Callithrix jacchus: one gene and its partners. The protein of the gene in region 1 purifies or fractionates together with the protein of each later gene. This does not show direct contact. Links are inferred from orthologs where the notes say so. Each region holds a gene or a part of one and is shown in the gene's direction. Other genes may lie near its edges.

What was found.
Region 2: the proteins of CLSPN (region 1) and PLK1 purify together in Homo sapiens (affinity purification with western blotting; 3 studies listed by BioGRID, with this or other methods). This does not show direct contact. The link is inferred for Callithrix jacchus from reciprocal best matches to the Homo sapiens genes CLSPN and PLK1.
Region 3: the proteins of CLSPN (region 1) and RAD9A purify together in Homo sapiens (affinity purification with western blotting; 3 studies listed by BioGRID and IntAct, with this or other methods). This does not show direct contact. The link is inferred for Callithrix jacchus from reciprocal best matches to the Homo sapiens genes CLSPN and RAD9A.
Region 4: the proteins of CLSPN (region 1) and ATR purify together in Homo sapiens (affinity purification with western blotting; 3 studies listed by BioGRID). This does not show direct contact. The link is inferred for Callithrix jacchus from reciprocal best matches to the Homo sapiens genes CLSPN and ATR.
Region 5: the proteins of CLSPN (region 1) and CDC45 purify together in Homo sapiens (affinity purification with western blotting; 4 studies listed by BioGRID and IntAct, with this or other methods). This does not show direct contact. The link is inferred for Callithrix jacchus from reciprocal best matches to the Homo sapiens genes CLSPN and CDC45.
Region 6: the proteins of CLSPN (region 1) and TIMELESS purify together in Homo sapiens (affinity purification with western blotting; 4 studies listed by BioGRID). This does not show direct contact. The link is inferred for Callithrix jacchus from reciprocal best matches to the Homo sapiens genes CLSPN and TIMELESS.

Annotation. Positions count from the first base shown.
Region 1 is NC_133508.1:72,333,674-72,337,173, reverse strand, and holds part of CLSPN (claspin), read left to right. Parts: intron 1-13; coding exon 14-205; intron 206-1,432; exon of another isoform or gene 1,433-2,165; coding exon 2,166-2,389; exon of another isoform or gene 2,390-3,500.
Region 2 is NC_133513.1:24,285,675-24,289,790, forward strand, and holds the start of PLK1 (serine/threonine-protein kinase PLK1), read left to right. Parts: upstream 1-1,316; 5' UTR 1,317-1,370; coding exon 1,371-1,763; intron 1,764-2,496; coding exon 2,497-2,665; intron 2,666-3,403; coding exon 3,404-3,548; intron 3,549-4,116. UniProt on the Homo sapiens protein: Serine/threonine-protein kinase that performs several important functions throughout M phase of the cell cycle, including the regulation of centrosome maturation and spindle assembly, the removal of cohesins from chromosome arms, the inactivation of anaphase-promoting complex/cyclosome (APC/C) inhibitors, and the regulation of mitotic exit and cytokinesis.
Region 3 is NC_133511.1:124,400,623-124,404,706, forward strand, and holds the start of RAD9A (cell cycle checkpoint control protein RAD9A), read left to right. Parts: upstream 1-1,284; 5' UTR 1,285-1,652; intron 1,653-4,053; 5' UTR 4,054-4,084. UniProt on the Homo sapiens protein: Component of the 9-1-1 cell-cycle checkpoint response complex that plays a major role in DNA repair. The 9-1-1 complex is recruited to DNA lesion upon damage by the RAD17-replication factor C (RFC) clamp loader complex.
Region 4 is NC_133518.1:42,028,992-42,032,970, forward strand, and holds the start of ATR (serine/threonine-protein kinase ATR), read left to right. Parts: upstream 1-1,179; 5' UTR 1,180-1,261; coding exon 1,262-1,320; intron 1,321-3,979. UniProt on the Homo sapiens protein: Serine/threonine protein kinase which activates checkpoint signaling upon genotoxic stresses such as ionizing radiation (IR), ultraviolet light (UV), or DNA replication stalling, thereby acting as a DNA damage sensor.
Region 5 is NC_133502.1:211,188,444-211,191,943, forward strand, and holds part of CDC45 (cell division control protein 45 homolog), read left to right. Parts: intron 1-1,494; coding exon 1,495-1,543; intron 1,544-2,871; coding exon 2,872-2,933; intron 2,934-3,500. UniProt on the Homo sapiens protein: Required for initiation of chromosomal DNA replication. Core component of CDC45-MCM-GINS (CMG) helicase, the molecular machine that unwinds template DNA during replication, and around which the replisome is built.
Region 6 is NC_133510.1:63,246,508-63,250,615, forward strand, and holds the end of TIMELESS (protein timeless homolog), read left to right. Parts: intron 1-15; coding exon 16-84; intron 85-208; coding exon 209-327; intron 328-2,359; coding exon 2,360-2,585; intron 2,586-2,710; coding exon 2,711-2,815; intron 2,816-2,938; coding exon 2,939-3,009; 3' UTR 3,010-3,608; downstream 3,609-4,108. UniProt on the Homo sapiens protein: Plays an important role in the control of DNA replication, maintenance of replication fork stability, maintenance of genome stability throughout normal DNA replication, DNA repair and in the regulation of the circadian clock.

The DNA of each region.
Region 1 (3,500 bases):
TGTTTGGGTTTAGAACTGGAAGCCTTGAAGCAGCGTTTCTGGAAGCATGCTAATCCAGCAGCCAAACCCAGGGCTGGTCATACAGTGAATGTGAACGTCATAGTGAAAGACGTGGGCACTGATGGAAAGGAAGAGCTAAAAGCAGATGTGGTATCTGTGACTTTGGCACCTAAGAAGCTGGAAGGAGCAAGCCACACAAAACCAGGTATTTGAGCCCACAGGTTTTGTTTTTTGGTTTTTGCTTTGTATTCTAGCATATCTTCATAGCTATTGAAAACCTTATAATGAAAAGTTATAGAATATTTTTCCTTGGAGACTTTGGACAGGAGTATCTCTGCCATGATTCACATGTAGCACACCTAGAGGTGTGGGGTGGACAAGCTGACTTTGTTTTTTCAAATATCATTTGTCTTATAAAAAATAATAAATATTCATTATAGAAAAATATATAGAATAAACAAAAAACTTAATCTATCAGAGACAGGTTCTATAACCATATTGTGTATCCTTTTAAACTCTCTTCTTTGCACATATGTATATGTATTTAAACAAAAACAAACAAAAACAGGGCCGGGTGCAGTGGCTCACACCTGTAATCTTAAAACTTTGGAAGGCCAAAGCAGGAGGATCACTTGAGCTCAGGAGTTCGAGACCAACCTGGGCAACATAGTGAGCCCTCATCTCTACAAAAAAAAAAAATTATCCAGACATGGTGGCATGCACGTGTGGCCCTAGATACTTGGGAGGCTGAGACGGGAGGATAACTTGAGCCAGGAGGTTGAGGTTGCAATGAGTCATGATTGTGGCACTGCACTCCAGCCTAGGCAACAGAGAGAGATCCTGTCTCAAAAAAACCCAAAACAAAACAACCCACCTAATAATGTGATCATAACATGCATTCTGCTTTGTAATATACTTTTTGTTTTAAAAATGTATTAAGGACAGCTCTTGCCCCTACCTTGAAATCATAAGTAATGTATCACATGGAAAACAGTTTTAAACACAGAAAAAAAAGGTATTAAATGAAAAATTAGTCTTCCCAAAGATAACTATTAACAATTTCTTGTGTGTCCTTACGTGTATTTTTTCTTGTGTGTATTTTTATGCATGTACCATTTTTTGTGAATGTGTGTAGCACTGAACATTTACTTCCTGTCAGGCATTGCTCTAGGTGCTTTCTATGTTTTATCTCATTTAATCCTTACAACCCTATGAGGTAAATAACATTAGTATCTTTATTTTGTATATGAAGAAACTGATATGCAGAGCACTTAAGCCATTTGCCCAAGTTTACACAGCTAATAAATGGTAGGACCAGTGGTCTAATCCAGACCACCTAACTCCAGAGCTCAGATCCACCTTATGTTGTTTTTAAGGCTTTTCTTAAATGGCCACATAATATTCCATTGAATGAATACAACACGATTCATTAAAGTTCCAGTTTTTGCTATTGCATACCAGTGTTACATGATAGTACCAGATATATGTTGGTAGTTGCAAAATTCCTTACAGTAGAATTGTTGTGATATATATCACATTCTGATATATGTCATCCAGTTGTGTTTCAGAATGGTTCTACTCTGAATCACAGTGTATGAGTTCCTATTTCCTCTTGTTAATAATTGGTATTATCAAACCTAATTTTTGCCGAACATGTTGAAAATGGTATCTCATTATTTTGATTTGGAGCTCTTTAATTAGCAGTGAGGTTAAGCATTACTTTTAATTTGTTTATCAACAATATATGTTTATTTTTATGTGCACTGCCAGTTCATATCATTTACCCATTTTACGCCTGAGTTGTTTCTCTTTTTCTTTAACACAGGTAAATTTATCAGTGTTTTTCTTCATGGCTTTTGGGCCACAGACTTTTGAAGCTCCACTCCCTAACCCCCTTTTTTCTCTTTTGAAGCTCCACTCCCTAACCCCCTTTTTTCTCTTTTGAACAATGATTTTATAATCCCTGAGTAGTATACTTTCCCAGGGAGCAGAAGTTCTCTTTGATACTTCAATTCATAATCCTCATGTACTCAAATAACAAAAAAGCCCAGAATACTAAGGTCTCAGATTTTCCTTTTGGGATGTGACTAGAATACTTCTGGAGGTACCTAAAATGCATACTTAATTGTATTATGTCTAGAGCATTTCTACATATTTCTGTTCAGGTGAAAAGCTTCAGGTGCTAAAAGCTAAACTGCAAGAGGCAATGAAACTCCGAAGGATTGAGGAACGCCAGAAGCGCCAAGCACTGTTTAAATTAGATAATGAAGATGGGTTTGAGGAAGAAGAGGAAGAAATGACAGATGAGTCTGAGGAAGATGGAGAAGAGGAGGTAGAGAAAGAAGAGGAAGAGGAGGAGAAAGAAGAGGAAGAAGGAGGAAATCAGGAGGTTTCTGGCAATTATTTTGTTTTGTTACTTGGTCATGGCGAATATGAGAGAAAAAGTCAGATTTGAATAAGTATAATAAGCATGTTCAATTGTATAAGAGGTTTTGGGGCATGGCAAGGGCAACTACCTCATATATGCCTAAATCTTAATACATTTAGTTCTGTCACTACCATTGAATATCTTTAGATGTTGAATATGATTATTCATATTCAACCATTGAATTATCAACCATTGAATTGATTATTATATATCAATACAGATATTCAGTGGTACTGACAGAATACCATTGGCTTGGCTTCCACCTGTTTGTTTATATGTTTTAATATAATAATGCTAATATTAAAAATGGCTTTGTATTAGCAGGAAATTTTATCTTTGTTGTTTATTTAGGTTTCTCTATCAGATTAAAAAACAGTCTTAACCTTGGCCAGATTGAGGTCTAGAGTAAATTCTCAAGGAGGCAGAGGTCTTTCTGAGTTATTTTCATTCTTTGTTGAAGAAGGCATTTGTAGAAGAGCCTCTTGCCCTTATTCCATAGTATTGTTTTCTGACTGGGGAAGACAGGTGATGATAACAATTGTTAAGTATTAAAAGCTTTCCTTTTGGGGCCTTGTGCAGTGACTCATGCCTGTAATCCCAGCACTTTGGGAGGCTGAGGTAGGCAGATCATCTGAGGTCAGGAGTTTGAGAATAACCTGGCCAACATGGTGAAACTCCATTTCTACTAAAAATACAAAAATTAACTGGGTGTGGTGACACACCTGTAATCCCAGCTACTCGGGAGACTGAGGCAGGAGAATTGCTTGAACTTGGGCAGTGAAGGTTACAGTGAGCCGAGATTGTGCCACTGCATTCTAGCCTGAGTGACAGAGTGAGACTCATCTCCAAAAAAGGTGGGGGGAAAGCTTTCCTTTTTGTATGCTGGGATCACTTGAGTTAATTTTATTTATTTATTTATTTATTTATTTTTATTTTTTTAGAGAAGAGGGTCTCACTATGTTGACCAGGCTGGTCTTGAACTCCTGGCCTCAAGCGTTCCTTCCATTGTTGTGACCACCCAGAGTGCTGAGCCACCATGCCCAGCAACTTGAATTAATATTTAATTTGGGGT
Region 2 (4,116 bases), on another chromosome or scaffold:
CAAACTGAAAGCACGTAGGCACAGAGTAGCTAGCACTTGTAATTTTTTCAGGAAAAGCCACATATCCTAATTTTTATGAGCTCTTCTTTTAAATGCTGTAAATGTTTTAGAAGGGCTGGGTGCGGTGGCTCACACCTGTAATCCCAGCACTTTGGGAGGCCGAGGAGGGCAGGTCACTTGAAGTCAGCAGTTTGAAACCAGCCTGGCCAACATGGTGAAACTGTCACTACTAAAAAAAAAAAATGAGCCGGGCCTGGTGGTGGGCTCCTGCAATCACAGCTACTTGGGAGGCTGAGGTGGGAGGATTGCTTTCAGCAAGCCAAGGTTACAGTGAGCCGATCGGGCCACTGAACTCCATCCAGCCTGGGCGACAGAGGGAGACTCCATCTCCAAAAAAAAAAAAAAAAAAAAAAGGAGGCCTAACAAAACCCCGCAAGACACATTGGCTATGACCTACGAGTTTGTTAGGCATTTTTCCAACCTTACCTCCCTTTGACCAAGAAACAGTGTCCTCCATTTTAGGCCCTGGGAAATTCAGCAGCGAGCAGGCCAGACAGCTTCGTTGCATCATGGGGGGCTCTGGTACTGTGCTTCTCCAACTTCAGGATGTGTAGGAATCACCTGAGCAGTCTTGTTGAGAGGCGGACTCTGACTCGGGAGATCTAGGGTAGGGCCTGAACATTTGCCTTTGTGGTTCTAACAAGCTCTCAGGTGATGGGGATGCTGCTGTTCCCTGGCCCCTCCTTTAAACAGCGCTGCTCCATAATCTTGAGGAGCTCAAAAGCAGCAGTTATTTGAAGGAGCAGGACTACAGTACTGGCCATGAAGGTATGTTTGGCAAGCACACTTTTACTTAATTTTAATTCATTTGGGGTGGCTTGGCTGAGAGCTGACAGCATCGGAGGCGAGTGTTAAGGCTCTCCCAAACTACTTTATTGGCGTGCCAGGTCCCTACTCAGCTTACATACTAGGTGGGGTGGAGGTGGAGGAAAGTCTAAGGAAAAGCTTAATGGAGGAGGCGCAAGTGAACTGCAGGAGCTTTCCCGGACGCCCAAGAAAGGGAGAAACCCTAAAGAAATTCCTCCCTTCTCGGGCCGGGTCTCCGTAGCCACGCCGGGTTTGGTTTCCCAGGCTATCCCACGTGTTCGGGTGTCCCTGTCAATCAAGTTTTCCCCGGCTGGGTCGGGGTTTAAAGGCGGCTGCGGGGCAGGGCGCTCCCATGGTTCCGCGCGGCGAGCGGGTTTGGATTTTAAATCCCCGCGACCAATCAGTAGCGCGCAGGCTTTTGTAACGTTCCCAGCGCCGCGTTTGAATTCGGGGAGGAGCGGAGCCTCTGCTCGGATCGAGGTCGGCAGAGCAGCTCCGAGAGCATGAGTGCGGCGGTGACTGCGGGAAAGCTGGCACGAGCACCGGCCGACCCTGGGAAAGCCGGGGTTCCCGGAGCTCCAGCGGCGGCCCCACCAGCGAAAGAGATCCCAGAGATCCTAGTGGACCCACGCAGTCGGCGGCGCTATGTACGGGGCCGCTTTTTGGGCAAGGGCGGCTTTGCCAAGTGCTTCGAGATATCGGACGCGGACACCAAGGAGGTGTTCGCGGGCAAGATTGTGCCTAAGTCTCTGCTGCTCAAGCCGCACCAGAAAGAGAAGATGTCCATGGAAATATCCATTCACCGCAGCTTGGCCCACCAGCACGTCGTAGGATTCCACGGCTTTTTCGAGGACAACGACTTCGTGTTCGTGGTGTTGGAGCTATGCCGCCGGAGGGTGAGTGTCGCTGCTAGGGAACTGGAATTGCCTGCGGGGCAGTTGGAGAGCCTGGACCTGGAGCAGCTGCTGGAAAGAGTGCCCAGGAAGGGAGTGCCTGGGACTTGGAGCTGGTTGAGAAGGGTGCTGGGAGCCTCCCGCTTAGGTATGGAAAGTGTCTTTGGTAAGGGCTTCTTGCCTCTTGGAACTGCTAGAAGAGTGGGTTCCAGTGAAGTGGAGTCTGAGTCAGGTTGCTGACCGGGAAGTCAGCTTCTGGACGCTGGGGGGAGGGGTGCTGGTAATGGACTCTAGGGCCCTAGAGTGCCCAGGGAGGAGTCCCAAGGTTAGTGAAGCCGCGCACTGGGAGCTTCCGGAGTGGGGTCTGGTCAGTAAGGAGGTAGTTGCAATCCAGACTTCGGTCCTTCCCGGGGAAATAAGAATCAGGAAAGGGATCTGCTGCTGGGCACTCGGAGCTTCCGGAATGGGGCTGAGAGAGGACCCCCAAGTAAGAGAGGAAGCTAGGGGAAGGGGTGCAGCGAATGGTTGTGAGTAGTGTTAAAGGAGGGTCCAGATAGCAATTGTCCTGGAGAATGGGGTGGGGGCTTAGGAAAGGAGAGAAACCCACCAAGACGCCACTTTGATCCGCCAGGAGTCTAGGTCCTGTTCTTCCTTTACCTAGTAGTAACCCTCTCCCTTCCCCACCGGCCTCAGCACCACCCTCCCATCCCTCCTGCCCTCTCCTTCCCACCCACAGTCTCTCCTGGAGCTGCACAAGAGGAGGAAAGCCCTGACTGAGCCTGAGGCCAGATACTATCTGCGGCAGATTGTGCTTGGCTGCCAGTACCTGCACCAAAACCGAGTTATTCACCGAGACCTCAAGCTGGGTAACCTTTTCCTGAATGAAGATCTGGAGGTGAAAATAGGTGAGTTGCTGAGCCTGCAGGGTGCTTGACATCCCTACAAGAGGCTGGAATTTGGAGGAGGCTGGGAGAAAGGATAGGAAGGAGACCAGGAGGAAGGAAGAGGATGGATGGTGAGAAGTTTGGGCGTTGATTGCTTCTATAATTCTCTCCTTTGTCCAGAAATTTAAAACAAACGCCCACAAGTCAGTATCTTGCCTGAAGACACATTATAGCCCCAATACAGGACTTTTTTTCAAATAATTTGAGTTTGTTTCTATTTTTTAAAGTGGAAAGCTTGACATAAAAATTTTGATTCAGAGCTCCTTTTAAACAGGTGAAAGCTCCAGTAATACGAGGGCGGCATTTTCTTAGGGCAGCCCATTGCTGGGCTGGAAAGCAGCTGTCCCTTCTGACATGTTTGCCAAGGTCTCTACTCCTCCCTATTCTTCACAGGCTTGCCAAGTCTTGGCGGTTACTTGCTTGATTCTTGAAGGCACTGGAGTTTTGCTGTCCCTGTCAGTTCCCATTTTGAAGCATAGCCCCTTTCTAAGGGGTAGGGTTGTGAAGGGTCACTGGAGGCACCTCCCTGAGGTCAGCATGGCAGGAAGATTTCTGGGCAAGCCTTGCGGCATACAAGGAGCAGAGGCTTGTGGGATCAAATGGCTCTGCTTCTTGATGGTCAAACCTTAACTAGCTTTCTGCATTGACAGATGGCAGAGGCTGGCATTTAAGTACCCATTCTTCCTCCCTCTGTCCCAGGGGATTTTGGACTGGCAACCAAAGTCGAGTATGACGGGGAGAGGAAGAAGACCCTGTGCGGGACTCCTAATTACATAGCTCCCGAGGTGCTGAGCAAGAAAGGGCACAGTTTCGAGGTGGATGTGTGGTCCATTGGGTGTATCATGTAAGTTGGGAGTTGTCTTTGGATCTGCCTGGTCTCAGCAGGGGCAACTTTGGGACATCCTACTTGGCTGACCTTTTCTATGGACCTTTCTGCCTGCTTTACAGAAAGCCTATTCTAGGGGACAAGTGACCCCCAAACGAAGCCTAATTGCTGTATCTTTCCCTGTCACTGGTGTATCCTATCAGATTTCTGCAGCCTAGGCCATGGGTACAGAGGAGGAGGAGGAGGAGGAGGAGGAGGAGGGGGAGGGAGGAGGGAGAGTCTTCACAGCCTTACTTTAGTCCTTTGCTAGAGTGGTCCACAGGGCAGCATCACCATCATCTGGGAACTTGTATGCGGAATCTCAGGGCCCAGACTACTTACTGGATCAGAATCTGGATTTTTAACAAATCCCTTGGTGATTTCCATGCACAATAAGGTCTTAGAAACACTGATGAGCATTAGCATGGTGGGAGAAATTAGGCCAGGAGTTACAGATGGCAGGATGAGGTGCCAGTGGTCCCTCTGGATTGAGACCATCAGCTGCGATTGGTGGCAGGCAGAGGCTTGGGCCTTTTCAGGTATTATC
Region 3 (4,084 bases), on another chromosome or scaffold:
TGTAATCCCAGCTATTTGAGAAGCTGAGGCAAGAGAATTGCTTGAACCGGGGAGGCGGAGGTTGCAAGATGGAGATGGCACCACTGCATTCCAGCCTTGGTGACAGAGGGTGACTCTGTCTCAAAACAAAACAAAACAAAACAAAAACCCTCTGTGTACACAAAGCTCATAGAAATTGCTAAAGGGTCAAAAAAATAACAAAGAAACATATAAAACGAAAAGTAAACTGACTCCTACTCTGTCTTCCAGTCCTTCATGTCTACTCAGGCAATGACTGCAGCTGCCTTCGAGGCCCTCCAGGTATCCCATGCTTACGTAATCAAATATATTGTTATGTGTATTTTTATTTTTATTTTTGAGACCCAGTCTTTCTCTGTAGCCTAGGCTGGAGTGCAATCTTGGCTCACTGCAACCTCTGCCTTCGGGGTTTAAGCGATTCTCCTGCCTCAGCCTCCTGAGTAGCTGGGATTATAGGTGCCCACCACCGCACCTTGCTCTATTTTTAGTAGAGAAGGGGTTTCATCATGTTGGACAGGCTGGTCTCGAACTCCTGACCTTAGGTGATCCACCCGCCTCGGCCTCCCAAAGTGCAGGGACTACAAGCGTGAGCCACTGCGCCCGGCCAGATCCTAGGTTTCTAGATTGTCATTGTTTGAGCCTAACTCGAGAGTGGGGAAGGTGGCTCCCGGGCAGTCAACTGAATGCACAGTTCCGCCCAAGGAAGGCCCTGGGTCCGGAAGTGCTCGGAGCTCGCGAGTGCGAGGGTCCGGATGGCTGCTGCTCCCGGAGCCCGCTTTCAATTCCCACTGGGCACAGGAGCCCCTCAGCAGCGCGAGGGGTCGCCCAGCCCGGACCCGGAACACTTGCTGCACGACCGTGGCGCGCGTCCCTCTGGAACCAGCTCCCACAGTCCGAGCGTCCTCCCTCTTCTGCGTCCGGCTCTGCCCAGGCTGGGGCGGGGCCTCAGAAGCGGCCGCCTTCGCGCTAGCCAGCACAGTCCCTCGTCATGCCAACTTTTCAAACGGCAAAATCAACCGCGCTGAAGAGACTGTGCCTCCGTCTCCTCACTGCGTATCTCAGTTGCCTCAGAGAAACTATCTTTCAGACCTTCGCGGTCTCTCCCGCGCCCGCAGCGCCCGGGAGCTGGGGACCGGGACTTACCCACATCGACTGCGACGTTTGGGCGCCACCTTGCGTCCGTTCCGTTAGCCTCCATGGACAACCCGGAAACCACATTTCCCAGCGTGCCTAGCGCCTCTGAGCAGGCGCAAAGAGTGTCCCCTCGTTGCCATGGGAACCTCGCCCCTACTTAGAGTCCCGACCGCTTGACTCCACGAAGCGCGAACGTGTTGTTTCTTCTTGAGGTGCGCTGGGGCTGGGACCCGGTTTGCAGAAGGTCCGGGGGGCGGGGGGCGGCGCAGGGGACTTGAGGAGAGGAGACCAAGCCGGCCTTGCCTCCGAGACCAGCGCTTCCCAATTCTCGGCGGCGTCCCGGCGTCCACACGCTGCTGAGGCCTCGGCGTTCTCAGGAGAGGGACTGGCGAGGCGACCCGGGTCCGCGAGGCCGGGGTCCGGTTGTGGCCCGCGGAGCCCCGCTCGCCTGCACCAGCGTCTGGTCACTTCGAGCCGAGGGCCCTGAGCGTGGCGGACAGGTACTCCCGGGCGCTGGCAGCCCGCGGGGAGGGTTCGCGCCGCAGGTGAACGCGGAGGTAGAATCGGGCAGGGCAGTGAGTGCGCCCGAGGCTGGATCTGGCTCAGCCGCTGGTGGATTCGGAGCCCGGGAGGCCCCCAGGCGCTGTGGGCTTCAGCTCCCCGGCTCTGTAAAATGGGGCTTGGACTAGAATTCTAGTGCCCGTTGCGATTCCGTTGCAGAGCAGGCCCAGGCTCTGTGCGACCTACCAGTTCCTTCCTCTGTAGAATAAGGGGTCTGAAACAGAAGCCTCTTCTGAGGGTGCAGTATGTCACACACTACTGGCCTCATTGCTCCATGTTGCACCCCAAGTGCAAGAAGAAAGAAGAGTCCTGAGATGATCTGAGCAAGACTCTCAGCTTGGGATCTAGAGTCAGAGAAACTTGGGTTTCTGACTTTGGACAAAGTTAGCCTCAGCCTCTTCATCTGCAAGACTGGGGATAATGGTAACACCGCCTCGGATTTTTGTGGATTAAATGAGATGATGCATGTAAGGTGTTTTTGTTTTGTTTGTTTTGTTTTTGAGACGGAATCTTCCTCTGTCGCCCAGGCTGGAGTACAGTACAATGGCGCGATCTCGGCTCACCGCAACCTGTGCCTCCAAGGTTCAAGCGAGTTTCCTGCCCTAGCATTCCGAGTAGCTGAGACTACAGGCCTGCGCCACCACGCCCGGCTAATTTTTTGTATTTTTAGTAGAGATGGGGTTTCACCGTGTTAGCCAGGATGGTCTCAATCTTCCTGATCTTGGCCTCCCAAAGTGCTGGGATTACAGGCGTGAGCCACCTAGCCCAGCCCTACCAGCTCCCCCGCGACCCCCCCGCCCTCTCAGACATTGTTTTGCTCTTGTTCCCAGGCTGGAGTGCAGTGGCACGATCTCAGCTCACTGCAACCTCTGCCTCCCAGGTTCAAGCGATTCTCCTGCCTCAGCCTCCTGAGTAGCTGGGATAACAGGCATGCACCCCCATGTCCAATTAATTTTGAATTCTTAGTAGAGATGGGGCTTTTCCATGTTGGTCATACTGGTCTCTAACTCCTGACCTCAGGTGATCTGCCCGTCTTGGCCTCCCAAAGTGCTGGGATTACAGGCTTGAGCCTGGCCACATGTAAGTTTTTAGTCCAGGGACTGCATAGAGGGAGTGCTATCCCATGTCCTAGCTCTCATTTTTGATAATTTTTACAACAGTCCCTAGCCACTGTAAGACCTTTTCTTAATATTTGAAGTCATTTTATTTCTGGGCAAATCCATTTTCCTAGGCAGGACAGTTTTTTTGTTTTCTTGTTTTGAGACAGGGTCTCTGTGGTCCAGGCTGGAGTGCAGTGGCATGATCTCTGCCCACTGCAACCTCCTCTGCCTCCTGGGTTTAAGCGGTTATTATGCCTCAGCCTCCTGAGTAGACAGGACTACAGGCATGTGCCATCACGCCCGGTGAATTTTTGTATTTTTTGGTAGAGATGAGCGTTCACCATTTTGGCCAGACTGGTCTTGAACTCCTGGCCTCAAGAGATCTGTCCGCCTCAGCCTCCCAAAGTGCTGGGATTACAAGCATGAGCCACCTTGCCCAGCCTGAAGTTATTTTATTAGACATACATGCTGTCTCAGAGCCATTCTTCTAGGGGAAGAAGGCGAATGGGCAGATCATTATGGGGCAAGGGCCATATTGTTGGCATCTTTAGTATAGTACCAGCTAATTGAGAGCCAAGGGAACAAGGTGCATAAATGGATAGGGGGTTTGTGAGCCTCTTTCCCTGGAGCTAAGGTGAAGAACCATGAGGGAAAGAAACTGCAGCACAGGATCATGTAGCAGTCCTCAGGACCAGTGATGGCAGTGATGGGTAGTCCCTTGACTCCTGTGTTCATTCTTGGCTTTTTTTCTTCTATGGCTCACTCCTTCCTAGGGAGGTTTCTCTCCCATCTGTGACCTAACTGGGAATGGGAAACTCTGTCCACCATGCCAACAGATTGCCAAGGCCTGCAGCTGCTGCACAAGAAGGAAGCTGGCTTCAGTAGCACCATCTTCAGGCTGACTTCCAGGGCCCTGCCCTTCTCCAGTTCTGTCCAGGGCTGAACCTGCACTAGGAGGTAGCCTTGAAGGACGCCCCTTAGAGATGGGTGTCTAATGGCCTGGAGAGGGGAGAACTACCTCAGGACCTGGGACGGCAAAAGTGGAAAAGGTTGAAAGGAGAAAGGCCTGAGGACAAGTCCTGTTTCATTCATCAAAGGTCTTAAGGTCTTAATTTCCTGCTGGAATCTTCTGTTGCTCAGAAGGTGCAGTCGTCCTCAGAACAAGGAAGCTGGGGAGAAATTAAGCAGGTGCAACCAGAGAGGAGATAGAGCACAACTGACTGTCTTTTTTTGTCCCTAGATTTGGGAGGCTGGAGGACATCTGGGGGCCA
Region 4 (3,979 bases), on another chromosome or scaffold:
TTGTATAATGACTTATTACATATTACAATGCAATAGTAGAAAGTGCACAATAAATGTAATGTGCTTGAATCATCCCGAAAACCTCCCTTCACCTCCCTGTCCATGGAAAAATTGTCTTCCACAAAACTGGTCCCTGATGCCAAAAAGGTTAGGGAATGCTGGTCTGTATTCTCGAGAAAATGTATATTCCCCAAATCCATTGATTTACTTTAAAAATTAAATCACAGGGCCGGGCATGGTGGCTCACGCCTGTAATCCCAGCACTTTGGGAGGCTGAGGTGAGCGGATTACGAGGTCAAGAGATCGAGACTATCCTGGCCAACATGCTGAAACCCCGTCTCTACTACAAATACAAAAAAAATTAGCCGGGCGTGGGGGCACGCGCCTGTGGTCCCAGCTACTCGGGAGGCTGAGGCAGAAGAATCGTTTGAACCCAGGAGGTGGAGGTTGCAGCGAGCCGTGATTGCGCCACTGCACTCCAGCCTGGTGACAGAGCAAGGCTCCGTCTCAAAAAATATAAGTAAATAAAAAATAAATCACAGGTTGTGGATGCCTGTAATGGTGGCATTTCCACAGTACTGCTGCTCTGATGAGACACAAATATAATCCAACCCCATTTTTAAATATTATATGTTGGCAGGGTCCTCACGGAAACCTAAGAGCGACTTCAAGTCGAAAAAAAATGCTTAAAAAGAAAAACAAACAGGGAGAGCCCACCTTTTGCCCTTTCTCTCTCAACAGCGTGACAAGAGTAGTGGCGAAGTGAGAAACTTTTAAAATGTGACAGCGTTACTCTGGGGAAACGGAGTCTACTTTTGGCCTTTACTCGCTGAACTGTCCTAGTTCTCACATTTGTGAAGCGAGATTCTGGGTTGGCAGCCCTCAAGCCCCTAGCCTCTCCCGATTCGGGGGTCTGGCTTCGCTGTGCCTCCCAGGCTTCAGAACAGCAGTCTGGCCGCTCAAGACGAAAACTTCACAAACGTTGCTCGCTTAGTGCTGAGAACTAAGTCCTGAACCCAACCAGGGAAGTTCGACCGGCGCGCGCTCGCCCGCTTGCCCCGCCCCCTAACTGCTTCCCGGCTTCCCCCGGGTCCTCTACAAAACAGACGCAGGGCCCGGCAAGCGGGGCCAATAGCGGCTTCCGGGAAGAGTTTTGGCCCCCACGAGGCTCCGTCGGGCGCCGTTCTCTTCCGGCCGGGGTAGCTTTGGAGACGCCAGGAACCCGCGTCGGCGTGTTTGACGAGTGTCAGGCAGCCTCAGCATGGGGGAACCTGGCCTGGAGCTGGCGTCCATGATCCCGGCTCTGCGGGAGCTGGGCAGGTAGGGCTAGGCCCATCCTGGGTCCTGCATCCTCCTCTGACGATCCCGGCTGGGGTTTCACGTGCTCTCCCCTCTCCTGCCGCGCCGTGGTTCGGATCCCCGAAGCCCCAGCTGCTGCCCTTGTGGAGATGCTCCGTGGCTCATTTGGGCGCTTCTCCCTCAGAGTGCTCGTCGATGGGACGTGGGGACGTGGGGACGTGGGGACGTGGGGTCGTCGCCACAAACCTGCGGGAAGCCGATTCTAGGGGAGAGAGAGGCGTCTGCCGGCCCGGGTTTACCTCAGCAGCGCCGGAGAGTTCGCCCAACCCGAGAGTTTGCTTCCTGCAGCTCGAGGGAAGAGTCCCTGCTGATCACTTTATGGTCACTTTTCTACACTCATTTTCTTCTCGAAAACCCCTTTCCTTAGACGAGAGACTTGACTCATCAGTTTCTGTTCTTTGTGATCACTCGTGGAGGAATTGGTTTTTAGCCTTATATTTTGTCCCCAAACTGCCCTTGGAAAAAAATCACCGCTTCTCATTTTCTGCAAGTGACATCACTTGATGGAAAAGGCAGTTATTTTCTTTGAAGTGAAGTCATAGTACATATTGAAGATGTGAACTCCTTCGTATTAATCGTCCAGTCCTCGATACGTTATTTTAGTCAGAAATTGGAGAGATAGACCTCAGTGTCCACAAAATCTTAACGTGCACAGACTGTTGCCAAAATTTGGAGGCAATTTAATAGTTCATTTGCAAATGCCTGTTTTCTGTAAACCTCATGAAAACCAGTGTCTTACCGAAAGAGGGAGGGAGAGGTGTTGATGACTGCCACACCCCTGTAACACTCAGGCAGGCTTTCCTGAACCAGGCCTAAAGACTCAGTAGGGCTGGTTTTGTTTTGTTTGTTTTAATTCTAAACTACTGCGAACAAGAAATAAATGAGCTTGTGCTACTACCGCAGTTGAATGATCAGTTGGAATAACTGCTTCCCAATTTCTTAAACGGTTTGAAAACTCTCCATACACAGTCAAAACTGACATTAAGCCGATGGGATAGCTGCTTCCCTTTCTTTTTGCAGCGCAGTTGTGTTCATTTCCACTGGTTGGCCATGCAAATAATCTAGTCTTAATATATGAATAAGAGGATAAATGAAGGGACGATTCTTGTCCTAACTGCATCACTATTTTTGACTGTGTGAATTTTTTCCACTTTTTATTAGTGTGGCAAGTATACTTTTGTGTTTACAGTTTATAAAATAACGTATACCTCTCTAAAAGAAGATGAAGAAAAGTGATCATTTTAGGAAGTTGTTTTACAGATTTTATCTTTCAGGCTCACTGTGAAGCTCAGTATATTTTTCCCACTTTGTTTTAAAGTAGAATTAGCTCTACTAATTAATTCATTTTAAAGTAGAATTAATACTTCTCTTCCCTCTTCTGTCTTCCTCCATGAGACCTGTTAATAAAAATAATTGGTTCTTGGATTATATATAGTCTGTTTCATCAGTAGAGCTTATGTTATCTTCCATTTGTAGCCATTCCAAGAGAAATAGAAAAATTGACCTATAGAAAATTGTCTAATAGTTTTTAATTTTCATGGCTTTTTCGCTACAACTACTTCAATGAAACAAGCTCATCCATTTTCATAGTATGTCCATGACATAGGATGGAACAGGAGTTATCACTGTTTAAGAAACAGGGTCACAGAAGTTGAAAAACCAAAGGCACAGCTAGCAGGTATCAGAGCTAGGGTTCAGATTCAAGCTATCAAGGCCTTTTCTTCCAAAATGTTCTCCCTTATGACTACGGCAATTAGACTATTGAAAAAAATGAGATCAGTGTTCTAATTATGGGCAGCTCTTCATCAGTCTCTCAGACAAAGTTTGTCCTATTGTTTTTTGCTGTTAGGATTCTACTCTGCGTAGTCTTGGTAAATGACCTTTCCACTTTCCTGCCTTCAACTATCATCTGCTATTTGATGACTCCAAATATGTTTTTCCAAATCCTGCCTCCTACGGAACTGTATATTTGCTGTATACTGATAGTTTCACTGAGTGTCCTATGTGTAATTAAGATTCAGCATATCCAATACCAATACAAATTCTTCACGTCTTAACCTTCACAAGACTTCTTTTTTTAAATTAAAAAAAAAATTTATTGGGAGCCGTGGGGTGGCTCCCGCCAGTTGTCCTGGCTCTTGAGGAGGCAAGGCTATGAGTTCAAGGCTAACCTGAGCAACGTAAGAAGCTCTCATTCATTAACAACAACAACAAAAAATTATTTTTCTCTTATTCACTGAAGTAGAGATATCTCAGTAAATGGCACCATATTCACTCATTTCTCCAAACCAGAAATCTAGAAGTCATTCTTGACTGTTCTCCAGTGTGCTTTCAGACTATGTCCTTAACCCTCTTTTGATTTATGCTCTCTTCCCAAGTAATCTTACCTAATTTCATGGCTTTAAATGTCATCCATATGCTGATAACTCCCAAATTTATATTTCTGATCAGATTATATTAGGTTGCTTACTCAACATCTATACTGGGAAGTGAAAATTAACATATCCAAAGCAGAACTCCTGATTTACTGCCCTTGAATTTGTTCCTTCTCCCATGTTATTTTGAACATACCAACCAAAAGCCTAGGAGTCATCCTAGGTTTTTCTCCCTTATCCCTTAA
Region 5 (3,500 bases), on another chromosome or scaffold:
AAAGACCTAGAAATAGAAATTCCATTTGACCCAGCAATCCCATTACTGGGTATATGTCCAAAGGACTATAAATTGTTCTACTATAAGGACACATGCACACGAATGTTCATTGCAGCACTGTTTACAATAGCAAAGACCTGGAACCAACCCAAATGCCCATTGATGATAGACTGGACTGGGAAAATGTGGCACATATACACCACGGAATATTATGCAGCAGTCAAAAACGATGAGTTCGTGTCCTTTTTAGGGACATGGATGAATCAGGAGAACATCATTCTCAGCAAACTGACACAAGAACAGAAAATGAAATACTGCATATTCTCACTCATAGGTGGGTGATGAACAATGAGAACACATGGACACAGGGAGGGGAGCACTACACACTGCGGTCTATTGCGGGGAATAGGGGAGGGACAGCGCGGAGGGGAACTGGGGAGGGATAGCATAGGGAGAAATGCCAGATGTGGGTGAAGGGGAGGAAGACAGCAAATCACACTGCCATGTGTGTACCTATGCAACTATCTTGTACCCCAAAACCTAAAATGCAATAAAGAAAAAAAAAAACAAAAAAGGATAGTATAAAACCATTTCAGTAAGTATAAGGAAAGAAAAGTGAAAATAATCCATAATCATACTGCCTAATTCAAAGAGATTCTGGGTTTGGATTTCTATTCCTGGGTTATACATACTTGTGCATGTTTTACATGATATACATCTGATTTGCCATCTTTCTGCTTAATATAACCATTTAAAATAGTTCTGAATAGGCTTTCTAAAGAGCATAATACTTAACTGGCAGTTTCCCTTCTTTTCGAAATGTAGGTCACTTCCAGTATTTTGCCATGATAAATAAGGCTTCAGTGAATTACTTTGTACACACAGCAAGTTTTGTCTTGCTTTTTCCTTTTAATTGTGATTATGGGACAATTTCTCTGAAATGGAATTCTGGGGCTATACCACTTTACATCATACATTGCCACTGGCAGTTTGTGTTAATTTCCCAAGGTTATAGTTATACATTCCACTAAAGAGGCAATACTTGGCCAGGTGTGGTGAATCATGCCTATAATCCCAGTACTTTGGGAAGCTAAGGTGGGAGGATTGCTTGAGCCCAGGAGTTTGAGATCAACCTGGATGACACAGTGAGGCTTTGTCTCTCTAAAAAAAGTTCTTTTTAATTAGCTGGGTGTGGTGGCACATACTATAACCCTGTCTACTTACCAGGCTGAGGTAGAAGGATCACTTGAGACCAGGATGTCAAGGCTACAGTGAGCTGTGATCATACCACTGCACTTCAGCCTGGGAGACAGAGCAGGAACCTGTTCCCTCACCAAAAAAAGAGAAGAGAAGTCAATATATGAAAACAAATAGTACCATGATTTACTTTGCATTTCATTGCATTGAATGCTGTCGGGTTTAGCATTTTCCCAAAACATTTGGCTTCCTCCACTGCTACTTCCTGATGAAGACCTGAATTTTATGTCATTACAGAAGAGACATCCTCTTTGACTACGAGCAGTATGAATATCATGGGACGTCGGTAAGTACAAATAGGTGGAACTGACCGTAAAGTTCTGACTCCAGGGGTCAGTGTCCTCAAATGTGAGGAAGAAACATGGATTTCAGAGCTACAAAAGCCTGGTTTGAATCTGAGCTCCATGGCTTCCCACTCTGTGACCTTAAACCTCTGTCTTATTAAGATGGTCATTTGCACCCAATAGGTGATCAAAGAAGAGCAGCTTTTATTTTGTTCATCATCAAGAATACAGAATGAGTTTGTACTAATCTCTGTGCAAGAAGATAAAGCGCTACAGACTTATATGGCACATCAGTGTGTCTTTTACAAAACAGAATTTAGGTAGAAAACCTGTGCTGATAGTGTTAAGTAGAGCTCGGGGCCTTAAGGAGCCCTAGACAATAAGTTTTAATAAAATATCCTGTATTTAGTCTTAGAATTTAATACTGGGACCTTGAACTCTTAAGCACTGTTTTTCCAGTGTCGCTTTTATTGTCAAGGTTCCATTGTCCTTTGAAGGATCATCCTTTTGCTCTCTCTGCTCAGTCCTTGCAAATGGAAAATTCTAAGCAGTTGGTGGGGGGGCCGTTGATGCTCGCTTAGGGAAGATATCTCCCTAATTATAAAAAAGAGAGAGAAGATATCTCCCTCCTGATATATGGGGCCAGTTCCCTTGGAAATTCTCTCCCTGGAGGAAGCCCAGCATCCTATAGCAAAGGGGATTTTAGGGTCTTCTGGTCAGACACCAGTCTTCCTTGAGGTCTCTAACCAAATCCAGACCCTCTGTTTAGGGGAGTTCTCCGATGTGGGCAGCCCTGGTGGAAAGACCCTCCTCACAGGAGGTCCTGAGGCCTCTCCCTCTTTAATATTCAAGTAATTGGACCCAGGCCCTCCCTGCCTCACCTGGCATTCCTGGGAATGCATTTGAGGACGCCAGCCAGGCAGGGCAGGAGGAGTGTGCAGATGCAGAACCAGGCAGGTGATGGTGTCTCCTGACCTCTGGGATTCAGCACCTGCCTTGGGCATCACTGAGGACCCCAGGGAGATGCAAAGAGGCCCCAGCCAGTGCTGCACATCTGGGCTGCCCCCACGAGGTGAATTCTTCCCTTGCTGTAGGATAAAGTATACAGACAGTAATTTTAGCTAGCAAAGAAGTTACTGTCACTTCTCTCAGTTTAGCGTGTACTCATCCCACATGTCGGGCTGGAATCCACCCACATGCCCTGGCTGAGCAGATCCTCCATCGGCAGGCATTTGATCAGGGCCTTGCAGGCTCAGGTCCAGCTGGCTGCATGGCCTAACCCCAACATGTGCCCCTTCCGTGAATCTTAGACTTCTCTGCTTCCTTACAGTCAGCCATGGTGATGTTTGAGCTGGCATGGATGCTGTCCAAGGACCTGAATGACATGCTGTGGTACGTAGCCCCTGTAGCAGCTGTGTGGGAGTATTACCTTGGTCAGTGCCACACAAGCAGCTCTGTCCTCTCACGGGGAGAGCAATTCCCTCGTCCCCACCAGGAGTGTCAGACACAGCCCCTTTTTTGGGAATGTGTGTGACCCTGGTCTTCTTCCTATGAAGCTCTGGGAGCTTCACATAACAGGGGAAGGAAGTGTAGGAAGAGGATACAGCTTCAGCCTCCCCACCTCTACTGGTCAGCCTGTGCTCAGTAAATTCAGGTGACAGAAGAGTGTGAGGTTTGAAGGAGGCAGCCCTTGCAGTGGCTCACATCCTAATCCTACATCCATAATCCCAGTACTTTGGGAGGCCAAGGCAGGAGGATCACTTGAGCTCAGGAGTTTGAGATTAGTCGGGGCAATGTAATGAAACCCTATCTCTTTAAAAAAAAAAAAAAAATTGGCTGGTCACAGTGGCTCATGCCTGTTATCCCAACACTTTGGGAGGCCGAGGCATGTGGATCACTTGACGTCAGGAATTTGAGACCAGCCTAGTCAACATGGTAAAACCCTGTCTCTACTAAAAA
Region 6 (4,108 bases), on another chromosome or scaffold:
CCCTCATTTCCTTAGGCTTTTCTACCCCGCTTCTGTGGCTCCAGAACTGCCTGATCCGAGCAGCTGATGATCGGGAAGAGGATGGTGAGTGGACAGATGATGATTTTAGGAGGACTAGAGCCCTGGGTGCTATTGGAGACCTGGTCATGGGACGGAGGACCAGTTCTTCCCTCATGTCTTCACCATGTGACTGTTGACCCTGTCTTAGGCTGCTCCCAGGCAGTTCCGTTGGTGCCACTCACAGAGGAAAATGAGGAAGCCATGGAAAATGAACAGTTTCAGCAGCTGTTGCGCAAGCTAGGGGTTCAGCCCCCCGCCTCTGGGCAGGTACATTTGCCAGTTACAGTGTCAGCCAAGGCTTGTTCGTCCTATTTCCAAATACATCTCCTCTTCCTCACTGTAGATGCCACCATGGTCCTCCCCACTGTCATGGTGGTCCTCCTCATTGCCTTGTCATCTCTGACCAAGATTCCTGCAGCAGCCATTCTGTTAGTCTTCTTTTCCTCTCTCTAATCTCCTCTTCCCCTAAATCCATCTTCCATACTGACCCAGATTTAGCTTTCTAAAATATGTTTTGATTATAGTTGTCCCTTGGTATCTGAGGGGGGATGGGTTCCATGACCCCCCAACAGATACTAAAATCTACAGATGCTCAAGTCCCTTTTTGTAGTATTTGTGAATAACCTATGTCCATGCTCTTGTATACTTTAAGTCATGTCTAGATTACATATAATACCTATACAATGTTAAGCAAATAATTGTTATACTGTAAATGTTAGGTAAACAATTGTTATACTGTATTGTATATGTGTGTGTGTGTGTGTGTGTGTGGCAGTCTCACTCCATTGCCCAGGCTGGAGTACAGTGGCTCGATCTCAGCTCACTGTCGCTTCACACTCCCAGCTAATTTTTTGTAGAGATGAGGTTTTGCCATGTTGCCCAGGCTGTATATTATTATTTAATGTTGTATTGTTGTTTTTTCAGAATATTGTCAATCCACAGTATTTTGAATCCAAAGATCCAGAACCTGTGGATATGAAGGGTCAACTCCCATGTCCAGAGCCCTTGATAGTTCCTTACTGCTTGCAGGACAGAATCCACAAACTCCAAATGGCATGCCCATCCTTGGCAAACCTTTGCAGCCTCACTGCCATGCCACTCACACACCTACTTTACATCATAGTCACCGTGGTAGGATTCTTCCTGCCTCCAAATGGTTAATCAGGCCAGTCCCTCTATTGGAAGGCCGGCTGCAACCATGCACACAAGTTGACATACATACTCCATCTGTCTTACCGATGGACCTCTACCCAGTCTTCGAGAGTCTGCTCAACTGTCACCTTGTCAGAGAAGCAGTCTCTGTTACTCTTTCAATGTATGAAGTAAAGAGTCACTTTTGCAGCTGCAGTTTGTTCATTCCCGTGATACAGCCTCAATCCTGTGGTATCAGCTGGGTGCGGTGGCTCATGCCTGTAACCCCAGCACTTTGGGAGGCCGAGGCAGGCAGATCACCTGAGGTCATGAGACCAGTCTGGCCAACATGGCAAAAACCCTGTCTCTACTAAAAATACAAAAATTAGCCTGGTGTGGTGGCAGGCGCCTAGAGTCCCAGCTACCTGGGAGGCTGAGGCAGGAGAATTGCTTGAACCTGGGAGGCTGAGGTTGCAGTGAGTTGAGATCGCTTTGCCGCGGCACTGTAGCCTGAGCAACAGTTCAAGACTCTGCCTCAAAAAAAAAAAATCCTGTAATATTATGGCACATTTGTTCTTTTTCCCGTTGGATTGTGAGTTATTTGAAGGCAAGGATCATACCTGATTCACCTTTATATCCCCAGGATTTATATATTTATTTATTCAATTAACAGCTATAGCCAGGCACAGTGGCTTTTGGAAACAGGTGGGAGGATCGTTTGAGACTGGCCTGGGAAACATAGCAAGACCCTGTCTCTACAAAAAATTATGAAATAGTTACGCTTAGTGGTGTGTACCCTTGTGGTCCTAGCTACTCGAGAGGCTGAGGCAGGAGGATAGCTTGAGCCCAGGAGATGGAGACTACATTGGACCATGATTGTGCCACTGCACCTCAGCCTGAGTGACAGAGGCAGACCCCTTCTTATTAAAAAAAAAAAAAAAAAAAAAAAACCAACCACCAAAAAAACCTATAGTTACTGGAAACCTACTAATGTAGCAGGCACTATACTAGGCATTGGGAATATATTGGATAAGTAAGTATTATAACAAGTAGAGTTTACAGCCCTTGTGGATCTTCACCAATGTTGGGTCATATTTACTGAATGAATATCAAACTCTGGGGAACAAGAGGCTGGTCCTTTCCCTTTTCAACTTCTTGGGCCCTGTAGGAAACCTTCTGGCGAATTCCAGCCAAGCTGAGTCCCACCCAGCTCCGGAGGGTAGCAGCTTCTTTGAGTCAACCAGAGGAGGAACAGAAGCTGCAGCCAGAGCTACAGCCTGAAGTCCCTGGAGAGCAAGACTCTGATGAGGAGCACCATAAAGAGCATCGAGCTCAAGCCCTAAGAGCTCTCTTGCTAGCCCGCAAGAAGAAAGCAGGCCTGGCGTCCCCAGAGGGTAATAGTGCAACAGCCATCCTCTGAGTATTAACTTGTCAGCATGCTGGTCTAGAGGGCTGGCAGGGTATTTTGAGAATAAGAGGATTGAGTTCCTGTTTTTTGTGTCATTTACGGTCATTGCAGAGGAAGACACTGTTGTTGGTAAAGAGCCGCTGAAGGCAGCACCCAAGAAGCGACAACTGCTGGACAGTGATGAGGAACAGGAAGAAGATGAGGGCAGTAACAGAGGTAGGGAATCTGATGGGACCTTCTTTTTCTTCTCTAATCCTGAAGACAAACTCTACCAACCTCCTTACCCCTTAGCATATTTAGATATTCTCTCTCTGTCTCTCGCCCCTGTTGTTCCCACAGTGCCAGAATTGGGAGCTCCAGGTATCCAGAAGAAGAAACGATTTCAGATTGAGGATGATGAGGATGACTGAAGAGCTAAGAAGCCTAGGGGTAGAGATAGACAGATTTTTAGATGGTGCATTTAAGTCAGAGTTGGAAGGATCATACAAGACCCAGAAACTCCTCTTACTTGACAGAGCAGTAAAATCCTGGGCTCTTCCATGGATTTAGGCTGAGAAACTTCAGCAGCAGTATTGGACTTCTCTACTATCAGTCTTTGTTTCTCCCCGTTTTTATCAGTATGTCCTAGCAGCTCTCTGGAGATTTATTCCTCCTCTTCTAAGAACCATTTCTTTTGGTTATTAGAGCTCCTTAGCAAATAAGAGTGAGTGAGTGAAATACAGAAAGCACCCTGGACCCCTCTTATTGGTCTGTTCCTTGTGGCTTTCTCTTGGAGGTGGGTCATAGCACCAGGAGGGGAGCTTTATGACATGACAGGTGGGGGGTTTTAGAAACCACTTTTAGAAGATACCGATGCCTCTGTCCTCATTTTCATTCCTGTGATCATCCTCTAGATACCAGATAGAGACCCATTCCTGCATTTGAGGTAGGGTTGGAATATGGTACTCTAGATGATGAACGTGTTTGCTTTGTGTTTGGTATTAAATTAAACATGTAAGATTAAAGTTGATCTCAGTCTGACTTGTAAATCTGTTTGCCAGCCCTTCCCCTGCTGTGCTCTTGAAAGCAGAACTTAAAAATTTTAGGGTTAAAAGAGACCAACAGACCAGCACGGTGGCTCAAGCCTGTAATCCCAGCACTTTGGGAGGCTGAAGCAGGCAGATCACTTAAGGTCAGGAGTTTGAGACCAACCTGGACCATGTGGCAAAACCTCGTCTCCACTAAAAATACAAAAATTAGCCAGCCATGATGGCACACACCTGTAATCCCAGCTACTCGGGAGGCTGAGGCAGGAGAATCACTTGAACCCAGGAGGCAGTTTGCAGTGAGCTGAGCACGCCAGTGCATATGCCATGGGATGACAGAGTGAGACTCTTGTCTCAAAAAAAAAGAGACCAACAACCACCTTCCCTTTTCTTCTGCTTTCCTCCTTTCCCTACAGAAGACACACAAAAACATTTTCACCTCTAGATCCTTTTTCTTGGGTAAATTCTTAGGATGACTAGAGTA